Astyanax mexicanus: one gene and its partner. Each later gene encodes a partner of the first gene's protein in a complex. Links are inferred from orthologs where the notes say so. Each region holds a gene or a part of one and is shown on either strand. Other genes may lie near its edges. The genes, in order: tonsl and mms22l.

What was found.
Region 2: tonsl (region 1) and mms22l share a complex: the UniProt entries of both Homo sapiens proteins name them as parts of the MMS22L-TONSL complex. The link is inferred for Astyanax mexicanus from reciprocal best matches to the Homo sapiens genes TONSL and MMS22L.

What each region holds. Positions count from the first base shown.
Region 1 is NC_064421.1:19,731,744-19,742,489, reverse strand, and holds the start of tonsl (tonsoku-like protein), read left to right. Parts: upstream 1-6,234; 5' UTR 6,235-6,510; coding exon 6,511-6,535; intron 6,536-7,887; coding exon 7,888-7,983; intron 7,984-8,075; coding exon 8,076-8,218; intron 8,219-8,303; coding exon 8,304-8,487; intron 8,488-10,046; coding exon 10,047-10,176; intron 10,177-10,746. Other genes in the region: edrf1 (erythroid differentiation-related factor 1), read left to right, coding at 1-98, 270-470, 946-1,167, 1,288-1,514, 1,769-1,927, 2,659-2,808, 2,915-3,068, 3,192-3,310 and 2 more. UniProt on the Homo sapiens protein: Component of the MMS22L-TONSL complex, a complex that promotes homologous recombination-mediated repair of double-strand breaks (DSBs) at stalled or collapsed replication forks.
Region 2 is NC_064411.1:31,625,076-31,635,416, forward strand, and holds the start of mms22l (protein MMS22-like), read left to right. Parts: upstream 1-6,107; 5' UTR 6,108-6,200; intron 6,201-9,286; 5' UTR 9,287-9,303; coding exon 9,304-9,476; intron 9,477-10,341. UniProt on the Homo sapiens protein: Component of the MMS22L-TONSL complex, a complex that promotes homologous recombination-mediated repair of double-strand breaks (DSBs) at stalled or collapsed replication forks.

The DNA of each region.
Region 1 (10,746 bases):
AGCCTCAAAAGCCTACTATGTACTGGCCGAGGCTGCCACCAACCTGTTGAAGTATGGCCGTGCCCTGCGGTACATCAAACTGGCCCTGCAGTGTCATGGTGAGAAGACCTCAGCAACAGAGAATAGACTGATGAATACCAGCATATAGTTGATTTTTGATTACTTTTAAAAAGCCATGTCAAAAACTAAAAATGCAGAAAAAAACGTTTTAACATCTTTTATTCTAATGTTGTTGTGTTTTCTCTTTCTTTTTTTCTTGCTTTGTGTAGATGCATATTGTGCTATATGCAGTGGACTGTACCCACGTGTCTTGTTGTTCCACAGTCAGTGTTTGTCTCTGTGTGGAGACATACAGCTAATGCTGGCGCAGAATGCCTCAAACAGAGCTGCCTATCTGGAAGAGTACAGCTATCAGACCAGAGACGACCAGGAGATCCTTCATTGTCTGCACCGGGAGAGCTCCTGCCAAGGTCTCTCAGCTATAACTCTAATGCATTCCATCTTTAACAATGTACACATTGTCTGCACATTGTATTATAGTATCTTAGGATGCACTGAATATTCAGAGACCTAAATTATGTAGTAAAAAAAACGTTTTTAATATGCCTGGTGGATATGAAAATGTTCATTGTTTAATAAATATTTAAAATTGTAGTTTTGTAAATTTGCTTAAAAGCAAGATAATTTTCAAGATTTTATTTATGCAATGGTTACAACAGGTCCAAAATGAATGAAAAACATGACCTTAAAATCCAAAAGCCAAATTGATTTATATTTTTCGATTTAAATTTCAGACAAACGTTTACAGTTCCTTGCATCATTTACTGGTGTCAGTCATGTTTTATGTATCAAATAAATTTCTATCATAATTCCTAAATAAGAGTGTTGTTTAGTCTTTTTGCTTTTATCCACTGTTGTAATGATCTGTGTGTATTATTTCTCCAGCATTCAACGTGGCCACTGATCTAGCCACTGACCCAGAGTACCAGCTGTTTGTCAGTAGTAAGTGTTATGAGGCTGCCCATGACCTTTTGACCTCTGAGGCTCTGAAGGACCTGGGCCAGGAGCAGCAGGCACAAGTTCTGAAGCGGCTTGGCAACATCCGCAATGAGATGGGTGTGTTCTACATGAACCAGGCTGCAGCTTTGCAGACAGAGAAAGAAGGGGGTGAGTGCTAGATTCTAGATTTCTAGATTTCAACCCAGGTAGCTTGTATTTACAGATCACACAGTGGTAGTATATTTAAAATTTTACTCTATTTTCTGTCCTTTCCTCTCTCTCTTGCAGTGCGGAGGTCGGTTTGTGCAGCAGAGCAAGAACTGTGGAAGAAAAGCTTTTCGTATTTTGAGAAGGGTATGCAGAACTTTGAGGCCATTTCTGACTCTGTGAATAAAGCTCTGCTGCTGTGTAACATCGGCAGACTGATGCGCATCTGTGCCCAGGCCCACTGCGCCATGACCTCTGAGGAGAGCAGAGGAGAGTTTTCTCCAGAAGAGGCTCTATATTACAACAAGGTACTCATGCACAAACTAACTATGCACCAGTTGTAAAACTGATTAGTTTTAAACTGAGCAGTGTAAAATGTATATAACATATTTGTCTTATCTTGTGTATAAATTGTTTGATTAGTCACAGTGCATTTACAGATCAATACAGTATATTTTTATGTAATCATAAAATATTATTATTATTATTATTACTATTTATTTTTTTATTTTTTTAAATCTCATTTAGCGTACTATAATCATATCCTTCTACCTGTGTTTAGGCTGTAGATTACTATCAGAGGGCCATGAAATGCCTGGGCAGCAGAGAGAGCCATGAAGCAGTATGGGACTCTGTTAACTGGGAGCTTTCCACCACGTATTTCACCCTGGCCACATTACTGCAGGACTATGCTCCACTATCCCGAAAAGCTCAAGAACAGGTAATGCACACGCTTGTGCACACGCTTGTGCACACACAGACTAAAGCACAATCCCATTTCTCTTTTGCTCCCCTACCCCTTGTTTTTGAGTGTGTAACTCGTCCCCTTGGAACAGAGTTACATGTGAAAGGGTTGAAATCCTCTCCAATAAGAATTGGGACAACCATTCATGCACCCTATACAGATATAAAACAGTGATGTGCTAAAGTTAAACAACCTAGTTGCTGGTTAATTAGTTAAATTTAGGGCATCCTATGTCTTTAGAAAGAGGGCCGATTGTGTAGCAATTATTGTTTCTGCTTTTATTAGCTATTATTTTATTGTAATTTTCCTCTTCATCTTTAATTATGCAGTCTCCTCCGACTGTTGAACCATTTAAGGTGGCTACTAAGCTACTTAGACTAACTAATAGCTGTTTTTTTATGCCTGTTATAAAGAAAATGGCCATAAAACATTGAATCTACACATTAAACTATGGTAATATAGTGGTTATCAAATTTATTGTACACATCGTGATATCGTAACAAAGAAAATACTCAAATTTGTGGGTTTCTTTGCTGCTATCTTGCTAGTGATTTTCTTAGGTAGGGCCAAGTGGGAAATGGTATTGGGCTTAGGCCACCTTACTGTAATCGGAATATACTATTACTAAACCATGAATGCTAGTTAAACTTATAACATTTAAATCAAGCTTTTCACAAAAGATTTTCCATTCTAACTTTTCACTTTAGATCGAAAGGGAAGTGACGGATGCCATGATGAAATCTCTGCGATACTGTGACCTCCAGACAGAGTCTGCTCGTCAGCCGCTCTACCAGTACAGAGCAGCTACCATTCACCACAGACTTGCCTCCATGTACCACAGCTGCTACCGTAACCAGGTAAACACATCCTCTTGTTCATTTCCATGTTTCCATTTCCATAGTCATATGCCCTTGCATATCAGTACAGACACTCACATTTACCTCGACTCTGTGCCTTCTGCAGGTGGGTGATGAGAGTTTACGGAAGCAGCATAGGTCTCTAGCAGAGCTCCATTACTCCAAAGCTGTCCGGTTGTTTCTCAGTCTGAGTGACGCACCATGTGAGCTTCTTCGCACGCTGCTTGAGAGAGTAGCCTTTGCTGAGTTTACCATGGCAGGTCAGTCTCACACAGTAGTCGGTAGTCTTTATTGCGCATGTGTGTGATGTATTTTTGCACATTCAAATGTCTGTCTTTTTGTGTTTAAACTTGTGTTAATGTTGCTATTTCTGTGTTTTTCAGGGCAGAGTAGTAGTGCTGTGAAATTAAAAACCCTAACAGGTGCTTTAGAGATCATGAATGAAACACGCCATGCCTTCAGGTTAATCCATAAGGAGCTACAGGAGCAAGAGCAGAAAGAGGTATACAGAGAGGCATGCCAAAAATGAGACCTTATTATCTTACTGTTTTGAAAGGTTAATGATTATTAATATGTTCGCAGGCAGTCGCAATAGAAGACACAGACAATCCTGATGAAGCCGGTGCGGGGTGTGATAGCTCTGCCTCCTCAGGCCTGAACACACAGGAGGTGCTGAAGCTGATTGGTGTCTTTGAGCCCAGTTTCTCCTTCCTGCTCCTGCAGCTGGTCAAACTCAGTGCCACAAGTAAACGGAAACCCAGGTGAAAATGAGATTTATGTACTCTGGTGTAAAATTGACTTTTGACCTGAACATTTGACCTTTGTTGAATAACCCACATCTGTTCTCCCTCATCTTTCTGAGATCCAGTAATTTTTTGCAGTGTCTCCAAACATGCTTTAGAATAAATGATATTGGGCATATTTTGCCCCTGCAGATAAATCACTTTTTACATCGTTTTACAAGCTCAAAGTAGCTCCACACCTTATTGATAGAATCCGGAGAGCCCTGACATTAAAATGAGGCATTAATAACTTTAAAAGTGCACAAGAAGCTTATTAAAAACCACTGTTCACAACCCGTAGCATGACCTAATCTCTGGGTGCCGCCATCACTGTACTGATCATGACTTTACTTTAAGATGGCCCGGAAATTAGGTTATGCTTTAAAATAAGGCATAATAAATTAATTGTTAATTAAGTGATTAGACAGGACATATTAATAGGGTTTGTCTGCAAACATTGGTGAAAGAATGTGTCGCTATTAGGATCTCTGGGAATTCCAGTCTGGCACTGTGATAGATTTCCTCACTGCTAAATATTCCACACTCAACTGTCAGTGCTAACGTAGTGGAAGTGACTGGGAATGAAAGTTGCTCGCTATGTCAACATAAAATGACTTTGTGGGGTCAGCAGATGCTGAGGCTCTAGTGTGTAGAGGTCACCAACTTACTGCAGAGTCAATCACTACAGACCTCAGGCTTCAGACTAGCTCAAGATCAGTAGAGTGTAGAGGAATGGGTTTCCATGGCCGAGCAGCTCCATCCCATCCTTACATCACCAAATGCAATTTAGGCAAGTGGATGCTTTCGGCAATATAGTGTAACTCTTTATACATGGTTGATCTGTTTGTGTATGTGTGTTAAACAGTGCTAAAGAAGAGGAGCAGGTGAAGGTGTACAAGCAGGTGTATTCTCGACTCTTGCGAGCGGAAAAGAACACCTCCCTGATCGAGCGGATTGCCCTCTATTTGGAACTTCTGGATCAGCTCACCCCACCAGCAGAAAGCGAAGAACCAGGACCATCAATGTGAATTGTACATTTGTGCAAATTTCCGAACTGACTGGTGCTACCCTCCCTGTAACTCATTCAGGCTGCGTGCTGAAAGAACGAGGAGCCTTATGGAATGGGCCTTATTCATTCAAACCTGAAAATGTGAATACATATCATAACAAGCAGTGCCTTGTCCTCTCACTCACAACATCTTCATCCAGACATTGTGACACATTACTTTTTTTTTTAACCATTAGCAACAGAAAATACATTTTGTTCAAAATATTCTATATTTAAAAAAATGTATAGTAAATATTTTCTAAAATTTTCAAATAAACCAACAAAACTACCTGTTTTTTGTTTTTGGTGGGGTGAGAGAAAGGGCACTTGACCGATTTAGTGGTGTACAACTAAGGTCACATTGGTTGATTTAGCTAAAAGCTCACAGTCTTTAAACATAAATAAACAATAAATATGTGCAATATTAAGGCAGTGTTCAGGGTTATGCTCTGTTTAAAGGAAGGATTCACTGAAAAGTCATTTTTATACAATTTGTGTTTGGGGGACTTTTGTTATTTTTGATCATGGAAAGAACTGAGTACATTTGATTATTCTGGTAAACAGTTCCTTTAGAGGCTTGTACAGCTTGCAGTGTTTTTGTATGAGTGTGTTTGCTGACTTGTTAAGATTATTAAAAAAAATGGACATTATTTTAAAAGTTCTGTGTCTTGGTTTATTTAATTTTACTTGTGTTGTTGTGAGCTAGTCCATAGCAGATATGACAAATGGCTTTGAGCATAGTAAAGACTTCCCAAGTCTCCCGGAAGTTGCAGGAGTCTACTGCATATCAATACCGGCTCCCTGATGCCCGCAAGTCAGAAAAAAATCTCCTTAAATCTACAACGAGTGGCCCAAGAGTGAACAAAAACACATACGCAGGCGACAGAGACTTTTTTTTCCCAAACGCAAGTGTGAAAGGAAGGCAAAGGGAGAGAAAGTCTCTTCCCTTGTGTGCATACTCATGAAGTGCATGCAAGACAAAGAGGATTCTACAAAGAGTCTGTGAGTCAGCCAATCAGTTTTTAGTGTGGGTGGGCAGTGTTTTTTTCCCCCTCCTGGATGGGATTCAGTGAAGAAGAAGCATCATGGCTCTACTACTCTAAAGTATATCCATGTCTTGTAAAATAATAATAAAAAAAAATGTAAAAAATCTTGCTTGCTGTACAGTTTGTTATAACTGTAATGGGGGACTAAATGATTGCAAAAGGCATGTTTAGGTATATATATGGGATGTCTGAGTATAAATCGAATACCCAATACAAATATAATTTGTCTGTGAATCTGTTGACTACTCCTCTTACCATTACTTCATATGATATGATATGACTTTTCTGTTTAAGACACTTTTCTTTTACATTTTTTTAAATATATTTCAATTAGATGTTACATTTTACTTATGCATTGGAAAACAGTAACAGTAATAACCATAGTAAAATTAATACATGCTTTTTCTTTAAAATCAGACTTCAATGTTTGTGTGAGTATTAGGAGCTGAAACGACCTTACCAATATGGCTTTACAATGTGGACCTCAGTAGGCGGAGCTTGATCTTTTACTGCCGGTCTGCTGCAGTAGCCAATCAGCGGGCAGCAGAGCTCTTGGCGCGGTATTGGGAACAGGAGATGTAGCTTGTGTAGTTAGTTAGCCAGCTAAGAGCGACGGTAACTTTTTGAGTATTGTTTTAGTTTTAGAGCGATGGATCGCTGTCAGAACTGACACTAGTACATGTCTGGAGATCGGTGGAGGATCGTGGTGTTTATTTAATATGCGAGATCCTGTTTCCGCTCTGTTTTGTCACTGATTTTTTTCAGTATTATTGACTTGCGATTCCTGCTAGCGAACTAGCAGATATCCGCTGCGTAACCAGGGACAATGAGTTCAGCGAAGGAGATCAGACGTGAGTAAAGTTTCATACTATTTAAACTAGGTAGATTATTGTCTTAATCAGATAAAAACTGCTAATTAGACTGTATATAACTAGTTATACTATAACTAGCTTTAAGCTATCCTGCCTGCTGTTGTCTAGCTCCTTAGTAAATAGCATTCATTTAACTTACTTATTCAGCTAGCCTGGCTAACTATTTAGCTAACCGTATAAAAATAATATTGTTATTATAGCCTAGCCCTATGACAGCTGTTTTATTGTATTCACTGTTTTCTAACACAGGCATATAACGTTAGCTGGGGTATCATTTATTTTTCGCAATCAGATAACTGTTACGTTATTTTGATCCATCTAATCCCAGACACGAAAATATTAAAATCACCTCTCATTATCAACCTTTTGAAATGAAGGTTACTACTTTAAAAAAGTCTTAAATAAACAGGTGGAAAAATGAGTTTTATGGTCGGTCTCAGTTGTTGTGACCCGTGGAATAATAGAGTTATTAAGTTAAATAGTTTACTAACCCCAGGCTAGTTATCACTATTTTCGAACAGAGCTCAAAAAAGAATTCTAAAAATGTATATTGTTTATAATGGTATAACGTTACTTGGTATATATGCAGAATAATTAATGTTACAGTAACTAACTCGGTTATATATATTTTCTGTTTATGCTTAATGTTTTACGTTTTTACGTCTGTGTTTTCATTGGCTGTAAGCCATAGTCATTAATAATAAAAGAAATAAACGCCTAAAATAGATCACTCTGTGTGTAAGACGTCTATATAATGAGTTTCATATTTTTGACTGAATTACTGAAATAAAGTAACTTTTCATTGATCAATTTTTTTGAGATGCACTAACATATATGCAGTAGTCATGTGACAGTGATGACATACTGTATGACAAATGACAAAACTAAAAAAAACAGATATATATGATTAAAGCACATACTTAAAGTATATCCTAAAACCTTTTCTTTTTTTTTTTCTTTTTTTTAACGCTGTAGGTATTTGTCTAAATTAGTGCTGGACAATATGGCCAAAATTTATTTCTTGATATATTCCTTAATTTCGGTCGAAATGATATAATTTCGTACTGTCAGAAAATGTAATTTGGTGGGAATGCACTGATTCATCATTAAGTAAAAATTTTAGAGCCATATAACTGACAATGTTTTAAATATGTTTTAATATTGTGACCGATGGCATTAAATAAATTAACTTTACTGGTGTTTTAGAGAGGTAAGTAATTGCTAGCTAGCTAACTACATTTCCAGTGTCTTCCTGTTGTTCTCGTCAGGTTGGACCACAACCTCCTCAACATTTTAGATTAAAATAAAATGTCCTTATTGTGTTTACACAGAACTGCAGAAAGCCAAAAGTAAAGCTCAGAGCAGCAGTAATCTGAAGGAGGAAGCTAGCCTCTGCAATCAGCTCGGAGAAGTCTTAGCCAAAAGTGGTAAGAAACCCAGGATAAAGTTTAGTTAAATGATTCCTCACAGTGTCAATTTCCCTGAGAATCTGCTGTTCACTCCTTTTGTGTGTTGTCAGGTGATTACCAGGCTGCTATTGAGGAGCATCGGCAGGAGCTGGCCCTGTCACAGGTTTTACATGATGTGATTGGTTGTGCTGTAGCCAATCGGAAGATTGGAGAATGTTACGCAGAGCTTGGCAATATCGCAACTGCTCTCAAAGTAAGAAAAGAGCAGTTAGTTGCTTTTCACATTAAAGAGACATTTAAGGTTTCCATGGTTTAGACACCTGTTTCTTTTTTTGCAGTATCAGAGACGGCATTTGGATCTGGCTTGCTCTGTAAATGATGCAGTAGAGGAACAGAGAGCTCTGGCCACCATTGGCCGGACTTACCTCTTTCTCCATGACACTGACCAATCACTGGACAGCCTGAAGCAAGCAGAGGATGCTTTCAAGAAGAGTCTGGCTATAGTGAACGAACATCTGGAAGGTGGTGTTCTTGTTTCCTAATGAACTCTAGTGGAAAATAAGTCAGCAGGTGACACGTACACAGTAGTGGGGAGTTGCGTCTGAGTACTAAAAAAGTTAGAATAAATTCCCAGGACATTTCTCAGCTGATGTTTTGAGCTGGTGTATTTACCTGTTAATGTTGATTTAAATACATTTAAGAAATGTAGACCTTGAAACTAGTCCTAAGTGGACCATGGTTATATGTATAAGAAAAATTAAAAAAAAGGAATGTAGGAGAATGGAAATGCAGTAAATTATCTGAATGAAAATGATAATTTTAATACTTTTATTTTTATATAGCTTGTATATATCTTGTTTATTATCCAAGATCAATGTATCTTTCTGATTCTAGTCCCTACAAACTAGCTACGGATACTTTCACTGTGGATATGGGCATCTGCTAAATACCCTTAATGTAAATGTAATAGCACTTTTCTAAAACCTAAAGACACTTAGGAAACATTGGATACATTTAAACGCACAGAATAGAAAAAAATGAACACAGAAGAAACATTTAAACACACAGAATACAGAAATAACATTTACAGAGGAGAATCAACCCATTACATTACATTACATTACATTACATTACATTTGGCAGACGCTTTTGTCCAAAGCGACTTACAATATTGAAGTGCAAATAATAGAAGAGGTTAAGTACAAAAATAATAGAAGTTAAAAATAAAGCATCTATAGATAGGGCCTTAAGGAGGTCAGAGGGAAATAATGGGATAGAGGAGTAGAGAAGAGGAAGAAGGAGATGAGGTTAGAATTAGTTAGTTTGTTAGAGGTGTTAGGAGATTAAGTGCTCTTTGAAGAGCTCTGTCTTCAGGAGTTTATTAAAGATAGCGAGAGATTCTCCTGATCTGGTAGTGGAAGGTAGTTTGTTCCACCATTGGGGAACTCTGTATGAGAACAGTCTGGATTGCTTTGTGTGAGTGTTTGGCAAAGCGAGGCGACGTTCATTGGAGGAGCGCAGCGGCCGGGAGGTAGCGTAAGCCTTCAGGAGCGAGTGCAGGTAGGAAGGAGCCTGTACTGTCATCACCTTGTAGGCGATTGTAAGAGCTTTGAATTTAGCCAGTGTAGCCAGTAGCCAGTGGAGCTCAATGAGCAGCGGAGTGACATGTGCCCGTTTTGGTTGGTTGAAGACCATATCACATACAAGATACAAAGTACAAAGAATATAGAAACATTCAACACGCAGACAGAACAGATGAGGAGAATCAACCCAACAGTATTATTGTGTGCGAGCATGGAGAAATTCTGATCACCACAGCTGCAGAGTTTAGATGTCAGTGCATTTAGAGGCCTAGCAGTAAAAGATCACAATTGTTTGCATAGTAAACCAGCATCATTAACATTTGTACTCTGAACATTCAGAAAATGTCATAACATATAGTGTAATATCAGTTCATTCTTTAAATACCTTTTGATATTGATAAGATTTAATTATAAAATTTGATATTACTGGCTATTACTGTGTTTTTTTGCAGTGTTTGGGGCTGATGCGTACATCTTGTATATGTATATGTGTCTCAGGGAGAGTCTCGGCTCGGGAACGGAGTGAGATGAGAGCACGGCTGCTGCTGAATCTGGGCTTTGTGTGCGATGGTTTGAAGGACCCACAGCGCTGCAATGAATTTATTCGTCAGAGCATCTACATCTCAGAGTGAGACTCTCCTCCTTGCAGCCTTTAATTGTCTGCAGCATGTGGTTCATGGCTTAACCCTTGTGTGGTGTTCGGGTCTGTGGGACACGTTTTCATTTTTCATCAAATGATACAAAAAAATATATTTTTTCTAACTCAAACTCATTGGCATTGGCTCATTTTTTGTGAAAAGCATATATCAAAACACATTTTCGATAAACACACACTGTACACCCCCCCTCCCCCCACACATTTATATTACATACAGTATGTTTGGCCAAGGGCTAATAAACATTGCTTCATTTGTAAATTTGAAACTAAACAAATTTTCTACTCATATCTTGAGTTTAATTCATTTTCTTTTACATTTCATTAAAAAACTTATTAAAAAAAGAGTAGCACTTTTTAAAAGAAATGTAACACAAGAAAGGTAAAGGGCAAATATTAACCATATAAGCTGTTTATATTGCTTGCAATTTATGTGAAGCAAGCATGTGTAAAGCATTTTAATGTAAAATTGCTTAATTTTGCTGAATTGAATACAAGTAACAAAGTAAACGGGTAACAAAAATATGAACACCACACAAGGGT
Region 2 (10,341 bases), on another chromosome or scaffold:
ACAAAATGGCCGCTCCAGGAAGTGGAACACAGCAAAAAGCAAAATAAAAGTCCATGCCATCACATATAGGTTTACATAGGATCTCCGGTGGACTCTTAGACTAGGTCAGTGGCTAAACTGAGCATTACACATGTTGTAAAGTAACATATGACATTGCAAATACTAATATTAGTGTAAAATGTCTTTATTTAAAAACGCCAATCAGAGGCGATATGTTTGCATGTATGAATATTCACGAGCAAGAGCTGAAATCCTATTGTCCCCCCCTCCACTTTTCCACCGGACTAAAGCAGCGTTATACAGGATCACCAGAGCAAAAACAGCTCGCATGGCATTCATTCATACTAAAGACCACAACTAGATATTTTAAAATAAAATGAATATGAAAAAACGATGGAATGAGACCTTTAAGTAAAAACGTTTTAAGAACATTTAGAAAACTTTACAGACTGAACTTTCTAAGAATGTTAAATATAACATTCAGAAAACTTTACTTTAACAGTGTAAACTGTTGTTAGAAGAACATGGAATCACACACAATGGTGGACATGGTCCTGTCCCAACTTTTTTGAACATGCTACCATTGAGTTTTTAATGAAATGCTAAAATATCTCACTTTCAACATCTGATATGTATTCTATGTACTATTGTGAATAAAATATGGATCTACCCAAATATGGAAACTAACAGTAACACTAAGGACTGGATGTTAACCACGTCTCTTTTAGCGAATGATAAGAAAGCTTTTGGCTGGACGTGGCAGAAGCACACCCCACACTGCACACTCCAGTAAAGTCGAGTTATTAGAAGAAATAATGTCCTAACAGTTACTGAACTCAGCGCTCTGCTCAGACACTCGAAGCAGTTTAATGTGCATTTAGCTCTTAGATATGTGTAATCACACACATTACCGGTCCAGCAGAACACGTCCATCCCCCGGAGCCTTCACTCTCCAGCAGCAGCTCTCCTCCTCCTCCTACACACACCCTCATACACCCATACACACACACACACACACTGCCACACTGCCATGCAAATAACCTCCAACCCAGAGACTCGCCACTTTCCTACTGTACGCTGCTATCAGCATGCAAATGGCACATTTATCTAAACCCTGTATCCACACACACTCATACACACACACAGAGCGCTATACACTCTGCTCTAGAGGATAATATCCATTAGACTGTTAATTCTACCTCAGATACACAGATACACACTTTTTGCTGAGCCATATCAAAAATACTGTATATATGATGCCTGATTTACCAAGAAATATTTTCCTTCAAAAACATTGTTAGTAATGCAAAACAGAGCATTTATTTTTTTATTGTAAGGTACATACAAAAAAAATGTTTACCTGTCCTGTTGTGTGATGTAATATAAATGAAGTATGAAATATCAACATTAATAATGTCTAGACACGTGCAGATGTAAATCAAAGAATAGTTAAAGTATAAAGTATAAACCAGGGTTGTAAAGTATAAGTATAAGACAAAAAATGTAAGATCAACTGAGGGCAAATTAGCCCCTTTTTATAGGGCTAAATCATGTGGTTAGAACTCAGGTGATCTACTTCCTGGAAGTGTCACATGCTGTTTTATGTGATCAGGATTGGGTGTAATGTCCCAACTTTTCCATCACTGAAAACCACAATTCTGTATAGGATCTTAAGATTATACAGTTCTAGTTCTAGTTCACAACAGTACAGCTTGCGATGGTGCGGTGCTGACATATGGCCTAGATAGTAGCCAATTCATAAAAACGAGCATATTTCTTGTTTAATCCGATAATGCGCCCCCTCCCAATGTCTTTCAACTGGTAAAATATCTTTAAAGTGCATCATAAATGCATATCTAGCAGTCAACAATCTCTCACCGAGAGGACACCATCCTTTTGACGAGTAGCCTCTCAGAGTTAACATTACCAATACTTAAAATATTTCATGACATGATTGTCTGGGTTGTGTCCCAATTGCATACCACATAATTGTAAGGGCTCACCCAAAAAGGGGCTTGAATCCAGGTCTTATGGTTCTCACAGCACAGCCTCCTAACTGGGTGAGCTAACTAGTAGAGGTGGTTAATAGGAACCAAGGGCCTTTTATGAGCTTTCGGCCATCCTTTTGATTGTGGATTTTCCTAGTCACTGCAGTGGATTGGTGGCCTGTCCAGGGTGTATACTGCCTTTCACCCAATGCCGGCTGGGATAGAGTCCAGCCACCAACACGACCCTGATAGTTAAATTGTTGCTCATTGCAGAGAAAATACTACATTTCAACAGTTTTCTAAAATAGGCCAAAGAAATGTTGCAATCTTGCAGAGACATACCTAGGAAACTATTTTTTTGTGTGGACAAATATTATCCTACTGAAAAATGCCTGTTGGAGGCCCTGCCATGAGAAACATATTGTTGAACTGCTAGTAACTCTTGTATCACTACTAGGGTTGAACAACTTTTCATCACACCAGCAGTTTTGGGGCAGTGTGTTGCTCCACAGTAAATTGCTTACAGGACTAAAGCGCTCACCAGGAGACCTCCATACTCAAACCTGACTATTGTTGGATCTGAAGAAGATCTAACAAAACCGTTCTAGTTCTAGTTCACAGCAGTACAGATTTCTCATCTGCCTAAATAGAGGCAATTCATTGAAATGATAATGCTGCTTGTTTTAGTCCAATAATGCGCCCCCTCTCAAAGTCTTTCAACTTGTAAAATGTTTAAAGTGCATCATACATACATATCTAGCAGTCAACAATCTCTCACCAAGAGGTACACTACCCAAACAAGTAGCCTCTCAGAGCCTTTTTTGCGGCAGCAAGGGAAGTACATTTTTACACCCTCTTGTGGCAAGACCCAATGTCTTCTACCTTGAATACCACACCTGTAATTGTTTAAACATGCATGTGGATGAGGCATGTATGTATACCAGTAGTTTAGCACTTTCACTGTGTTTGGAATAAGAGAAAACCATACAGACAGCAATGAAGTAAAGGATTAGCGCCGTGCTGGACTGCTCCTACAGGCGCAGTGTAGAAAAAGAGAGAAAGAGATGTTCATCTTAACTGAAGCAGCATGTGCACTGCTAAGCCACCAGGCCTGGGGCAGGGAGAGGACAGAAAGAGAGAAATAAGAAGGAATGATTTTTACCACAAGCCGAACGTCATGCTCTGGGTCCAGAGGCCCTAGAGGGACGCTGATAAAGCACCTGGACATTTTTATAGACAAACCACTTATTCCTGTCCACCGTATCGCTCGGGAAGACTGATAACTTTCCATTTCTCCCGGGCTGAGAGTTGGAAGGGCCGCAGGTTTGAAGAGGCCTTTCTCCAATTTAATTGATCAAACAGAAGCCCCCCCGAGGCCCAGATAAAGCAGCCCTGGCCCGATTTGCAGCACAATGGCCGGACCGTTTTGGGGGAGAGCAATAACGAGTAAAATACGACTCATTATGTCCCCTCATTGTACAGTATTAACCGCATGTCACTTTTTTAAAGAAAGGTCATTATATGCGTTCCTATTATCCTCGGAGGTCGCAGAGCAGGTCATTTTTAAAGTGCACTTTTTACAGTACTGACTCTCTACTACTCTACACTGACTAAAAAGAGCATTTGGCCATAAAATGGGAATGTAGAATCACCTGACAGAATTTTCAGTAGCTTGCAAAAGTATTTATACCTCCTGAACTTTTTTTTTTACATTTTGTCACCTTACAAGCGCAATCTTAAATGTATTTTCTTAAGATTTTAAGTAATAGACCAACAAAAAAATAGCACATACAGTAGTGTGAAAAAGCATTAGCCTCCTTCATGATTTCTTTTTTTTTTTTTGCATTGTTGTGTTTTTCGCATATCTTAAAAGTTTCAGATCATCAAAACAAATTTAAATATTGGTCAACCACAACACAAGTAAACACAAAATGCAGTTCTTCAATTAAGGTTTTTATAATTATGGCACAAAAGTGAAAACAAAACTTAACTGTGGTTTATAACACTTAAGTTCAATTTCTTTAGCCACACCCAGTCCTGATTACTGCCACACCTGTTCTCAATCAACAAATCACGTAAATAGGACCTGCCTTACAAAGTGAAGTACACCAAAATATACACAAAAGCTAGACAGCATGCCAATCTTCAAAGAAATTCAGGAACAAACAAAAAAAATAAAGTAATTGAGATCTATCAGCCTGGAAAATATTTTAAAGCCATTTTTAAAGTTTTGGACTCAAGAGAACCACAGAGAGATCCACAAATATCGAAAACCTTAAACAGTATTGAATCTTGCCAGGAGTGGCCGCTGACCAACATTATCCCAAGAGCACAGCGACGACTCATCCAAGAGGTTACAAAAGACCCCACAACAACTTCCAAAGAACTGCAGGCCTCATATGCCTTAGTTAAGATCAGCTTTCATGACTCCACTATGAGAAAGAGACTGGGCAAAAATGGCCTGCATGTCAGAGTGCCAAGATGAAAACCACTGCTGAAAAAAAGAACATCTCAATTTTGCCATTTTGCTGATCCCTAAGACTTTTGGGAACAACACTCTGTGGGCCGATGAGACAAAAGTTTAACTTTTTAAAAGTGTGTTTCTTATTACATCCGCCGTAAAAGAAACTCCACATTTAGAAAATAAAACATCATACCTACAGTAAAACATGGTGGTGGTAGTGTGAAGGTATGGGACTGTTTTTCTGCTTCAGGACCTGGAAGACTTGCTGTGATAAATGGAACCATGAACCCCACTCTCTGCCAAAAAGTCCTCAAGAAGAATGTCCGACCATCTGTTTGTGACCTTAATCTGAAATGAACTTGGGTTCTGCAGCAGGACAATGATCCAAGTCCACCTCTGAATGGCTATCCTATTAAGATGCTGTGACATGACCTTGAGAAGGCAGTTCATGCAGAAAAACCCTCCAATGTGGAGGAATTACAGCAATTCTGTAAAGATGAATTGAACCAAAATTCCTCCACAGAGATGTGAAAAACTAATTGCAAGTTACCACAAACGCTTCATTGCAGTTGGTGCTGCTAAATATGGCCATAACAGTGATTAGGTTTAGGGGATCAATTAGTATTCATCCCTTGGAGAGCTTCTGTGAACTAAAATTTTCCTGTCTTGCCACAGAAGCTCAATGGATTTAGTTCAGAATTTTGACAGGGCCATTCTAACACATGAATATTAAACATGAATATTTAAAAAAAGTACTTCAGTGAAATTTGCTAGCAAACCTTTTTTTTCCCAATTTTTGTGTTGCTTATAAAAAATAAAATCGTGCTGATGATTTTGGATGTTAAATACTTCACACAAATATACTTAATATACTTCACACAAATATACTTAATATACTTCACACAAATATACTTAATATACTTCACACAAATATACTTAATATACTTCACACAAATATACTTAAATTGTATTAAATGGTGAACATTACAAATGACTAATATACTGCAAATTTATATCATTTTAATTACAAACAAGTAATAATATAGTATAGTCCGAAATAACATAACTTATGTACAGACCTCAGCATAATTTAAGTATACTTTTTTTTACAAGGGCGTGCTCAGAAAACATCAAACCTGACTGAACTGGAGATGTTTTGTAAAGAAAAATGATCCAAAATACCTTCAACCAGAAGCCAGACCCTCATTATAAGCTATAGCAAGTGTTTAAAGTTATTTCTATTGTTATTTCTGCCAAAGGACGATCTACTAAATATTTATGTCATTTTCCTTTTTTTGTAAATCCTATTTTTCATTTCGTGTTCGTCTGCTATGTGATATATTTAACTGAAATTCCTGATCCGAACAACCAATGATTTATAAAGGAAAATCATGAAAATAATCAGGGGTGTCCAGACTTTTTCATACAACTGTAAAAATCAGTATTCAGTGGTCTTAATGTTGCGGCTGATATGTGAATATTTAAATAGTTTTATTCTCTTTACCTGGCAGTGTTCCTAACGTTATGGCTCATTGTATTCTATGTAAATAAAAGTCCGTACATTTGACCGCACTATTATTTTGTAGGCTCTTGTTTTGTTTATAATAAAGCCCCGTGATTGGTCACAAGTCCTAACGTCTCACCCCTTCGGAGAACTTTGAACCAATCACAGAAGCGAGTCGGAGGATTCTGCAGTCGTGCGCATGCTCAGTGTAAGCGCGGGATTGTGAACAGCTGTAAGCGGAGCGGTGAGTTAAACGCGTTACTCTATAAATACTTAAATAATAGTCGATTAATTGGGGATCGTTTTGCTGATGTTGGATAGTAAGAGCTGTCACTCATTTAAGCGCGAGGCTGTAACGTCGCGAGAAGGTTTAAGAGACGGATTTTGGTTTTAGGCTGTAACGTTAATACTAATGCTGACGGTCAGCAACACCGATACAGCCTCGCGCAGTTTAACAGTAACGTTAAGAATATGCACGAGCTGCAGTAAGTGTTTCTATTAAAGTGTCCACTAGTGAGTAGAAGCACTAGATACAGTAGGTGTTTCTAATAATGTGGCCATCAGTGAGTGGAATCACAAGATACACTAGGTGTTTCTAATAAAGTGTCCGCTAGTGAGTGGAAGCACTAGATAGAGTAGGTGTTTCTAATAAAGTGGCTGGTAGGGAGTAAAAGCACAAGATACAGTAGGTGTTTCCAAAAAACTGGCCACTAGTGAGTGGAAGCACAAGATACAGTAGGTGTTTCTAATAAAGTGGCCAGTAGTGAGTGGAAGCTCAGGATACAGTTGGTGTTTCTAATAAAGTGGCCGTCAGTGAGTGGAAGCACTAGATACAATAGGTGTTTCTAATAAAGTGTCCACTAGTGAGTGGAAGCTCTAGATACAATAGGTGTTTCTAATAAAGTGTCCACTAGTGAGTAGAAGCAAAAGATACAGTAAGTGTTTATAATAAAATGGCCAGAAGTGAGTAGAAGCACTCTATTGCACACTGTGTAATAGAGTAATTACTACCTCACCTGGTCACCTGGTCTTTTTTGCACACTGCAAAATTTGCACACTGTCTTGTTATTTATTATTCTTTGTCTGTATTGTGTTGTATTGTCTGTCTGCACTTTTGTACTGTTGCACTATTGTTCTGTCTACACTGTGTTTATGTGCACCATGGTCCTTGGAGGAACGTTGTTTCGTTTCACTGTGTACTCTGTATATAGCTGAAATGACAATAAAAACCACTTTGACTTTGACTTTGAGATACTCTAGGTGTTTCTAATAAAGTGGCCACTAGTGAGTGGAAGCACAAGACACAGTGGGTGTTTCTAATTAAGTGGCCAGTAGTGAGTGGAAGCACAAGATACAGTAAGTGTTTCTAATAAAGTGGCCAAACAGTTTTAGAATCAAATGCACGTTTGAGCTGCATGGGCACGAGCTACAGGTGACATGAGGTGAAATGAGAATTGATTGGCTGCATGCCTTCACTATCCACCAATCATTTTTCTTCAGTCTTACGTGACCTTTTGTGTGTGCACTTATTACAGAATTTGATTTAACTCCAGTTGCCTTCAGTAGCTGCTATCGCATTCATGATCCAGTCCTTTAGGCTCCAGGACCGAGGTTGAGAATCACTTTTATAGTTTATAAAACAAAGCCTTTTAGAGTGAGTTTGGTGTGAAATGCTTAGTTCTAGAGAAACATCTAGTAATTGTTCAGATTTAATCAGATGTTATGAATACACTGCCAGATACCCGATACACTGTTTGACGGAGTTGAAAAGATTTCAGGAAAAATATATATATTTATAATAGTGTGTCTTTAAATTGTGGAGGCATACATGCAGGTTGTATTCTCTGTATTCGCTTAGATTCTCTGCCTGACCCGAGGCCCGACCTGAACTCCGGCTGGGTCGGGCCGAGATTTCCCACCACTCCTCGGGTTTGGTCGGGTCGGGATGTGTTTTTAAATGCAATGTTGATTTTATATAAAGCTATGGCATAACAATTGCAATATAGCAAAGTAACAAATCAAACTGAGTTTTAAATCAAATGTTGCACAAGTTAGAATGTTATGTGTTACTGTTACTGTTTTATGTGTTTTGCACTAAGGCTATATGTTTAAAATAAAAATAAAAAAATGTTTGTCCAGTTTTATTTTCATAGACATTATTAATTATATTAGAGTAGACGGGGAGATCTGTTCTTAATAAACATTGTTCTTAAATAATAGGTCTATGCTTCTTCAGTGTTGTAATGTTAATTAACATTATTCTGAACAGATTTAGCTCATTCAAACAGCCTGAAAATGTTTTTGAAAAGCTCAGTTTTAACACTCCACTTACTAAAAAAATGTCTTGTTTAATTCAGGCTCGGGCTCACAAAAACAGTTTACAGGGCGGGACGGGTCTGGCTCAGGCCAGGTCGGGCTGGATTTTTTGGGCCCGATCTAAGCACTAGTTGTAGTGCAAAAAAAAGTCCCCAAAGAAAATGTCAAAGTCAAGTCTGAATATTATGACTATCTCCTTGTTTCCGCTCGTTGTCCGACTTATTACTTCCACATTTAGTAGTTATATATAAATACTATATATTACCTAATAACTTTGTGCAACTCTTGGCGGCAACAACTTCAATCAAGCTTTACTGATAACTGGCAATGAATCTTTCACATCTCTTTTGAAGGAGTTTTGTTCCACAATACAATTTATCAGATTGTATCGATACGTAAATGCAAAGTTTATGTATCGTCATCAGTATTGGATCAGCACAACCCTAGTTCCTTTAACCACCACTCTCTCTACAAAAAGAGAATCTACAGCTCTAGAAAACAATGAGACCACTAATGATGAGTTTCTTTTATTTTACCAAACTGAAAACCTCAAGAATATAATCAAGAAGAAGATGGATGATCACAATCCATCAAACCAAGCTGAACTGCTTGAATTTTTGCTCCAGGAGTGGCATAAAGTTATCCAAAAGCAGTGTGTAAGACTGGTGGAGGAGAACATGCCAAGATGCATGAAAACTGTGATTAAAAAACAGGGTTGTTCAACCAAATATTGATTTCTGAACACTTTATGATTGTGAACTTGTTTTCTTTGCATTATTTGAGGTCTGAAAGCAAATAAATGCTCTAAATGACAATATATGTTTATTTGGAATTTGGGAGAAATGTTGTCTGTAGTTTATAGAATAAAACAACAATGTTCATTTTACTCAAACATAAACCTATAAATAGCAAAATCAGAGAAACTGATTCAGAAACGGAAATGGGCTGTTAATTTTTTCCAGAGCTGTATATGAACTTACTGTCCTGTAACGCTTGTTTTGTCTGTTTCCACAGTTGGCGTCAGCAGTGTGATGGAGGATGATTTCAGTCCGTCTCTCACTCCACCCATCTCCCCGTTCATGCCGGAGGATGTGTGTGAGCCGATCACACGTCCGCCCTGCTTCACCTGTGTGTACGAAGCAGGAAGAGAGGATACACACGCTCTGTCTTCTGACGGCTACGTCAGCAGAGGAGTTCTAAAGAGGTCTAGCACCTTTATTTCTGCATATTTTATCATGGATAGTAATACTATTAGAACTTTATTCTAGATATTAAGATTATTCAAACTGGATTAATGCAGTATTATATTAGGAAATATAAGATCTCAACCGAAATAAAAAAAAAAGGTTTTTTTTTTACTAAATCTAAAATTTTAGTAAAATTTTACTAAATCTGATTGCAGACAGTATAAACCAAAGATATTTCAGGTATTGTCTAATCAGCTTTATTTTATTTGCAACACCTATCAAAAAAGTCAGGGCAGGTATATTTTAGGGCTAATAATGTGGTAAAAAATTAATCATGATTTGTTATAAAAACAGTATCCACAAAAATCTAAGCACTAATGATCAGAGAAAGAAAGAGGCCATCCAGACTGTTATCAGAAACAAGTCCTAAAGCCAGGATCTGACATGCTAGATCCATGGTAGGACATGGAGTGTATGTCTCGGAGAGGGAGAGTCCACGTGGGTTGGCGAGAGACAAAGCAAGTGAGTTTTATCACAGTGGCGGTGTGTCAACAATGTGAATGACCGGGTTGAATGATCACCTAGTTTCTGCGTGTGCTGTTTACCAAAAAGCTCTACTTTTTTTGCTTACCCTTTTTTATGTTTGCTGTGGAATTATATCCAATTTGGCTTTTTGACAATTCTTTTTGTGGTTTTCCATTGAAGACAAATTAAATTAACATTTTAATATCAAAACATTTGTAATTGCAATCCTTTTCTGGGAAAAAAATGGAGCATTATCTGACAGAATTGCAGGGGTGCCAATACTTTTGGCCAGCACTGTAAGTACAGAGACATTTTGCTCAGTGCCTTTTTGGTATTGAATTTTGATACCCAGCCCTA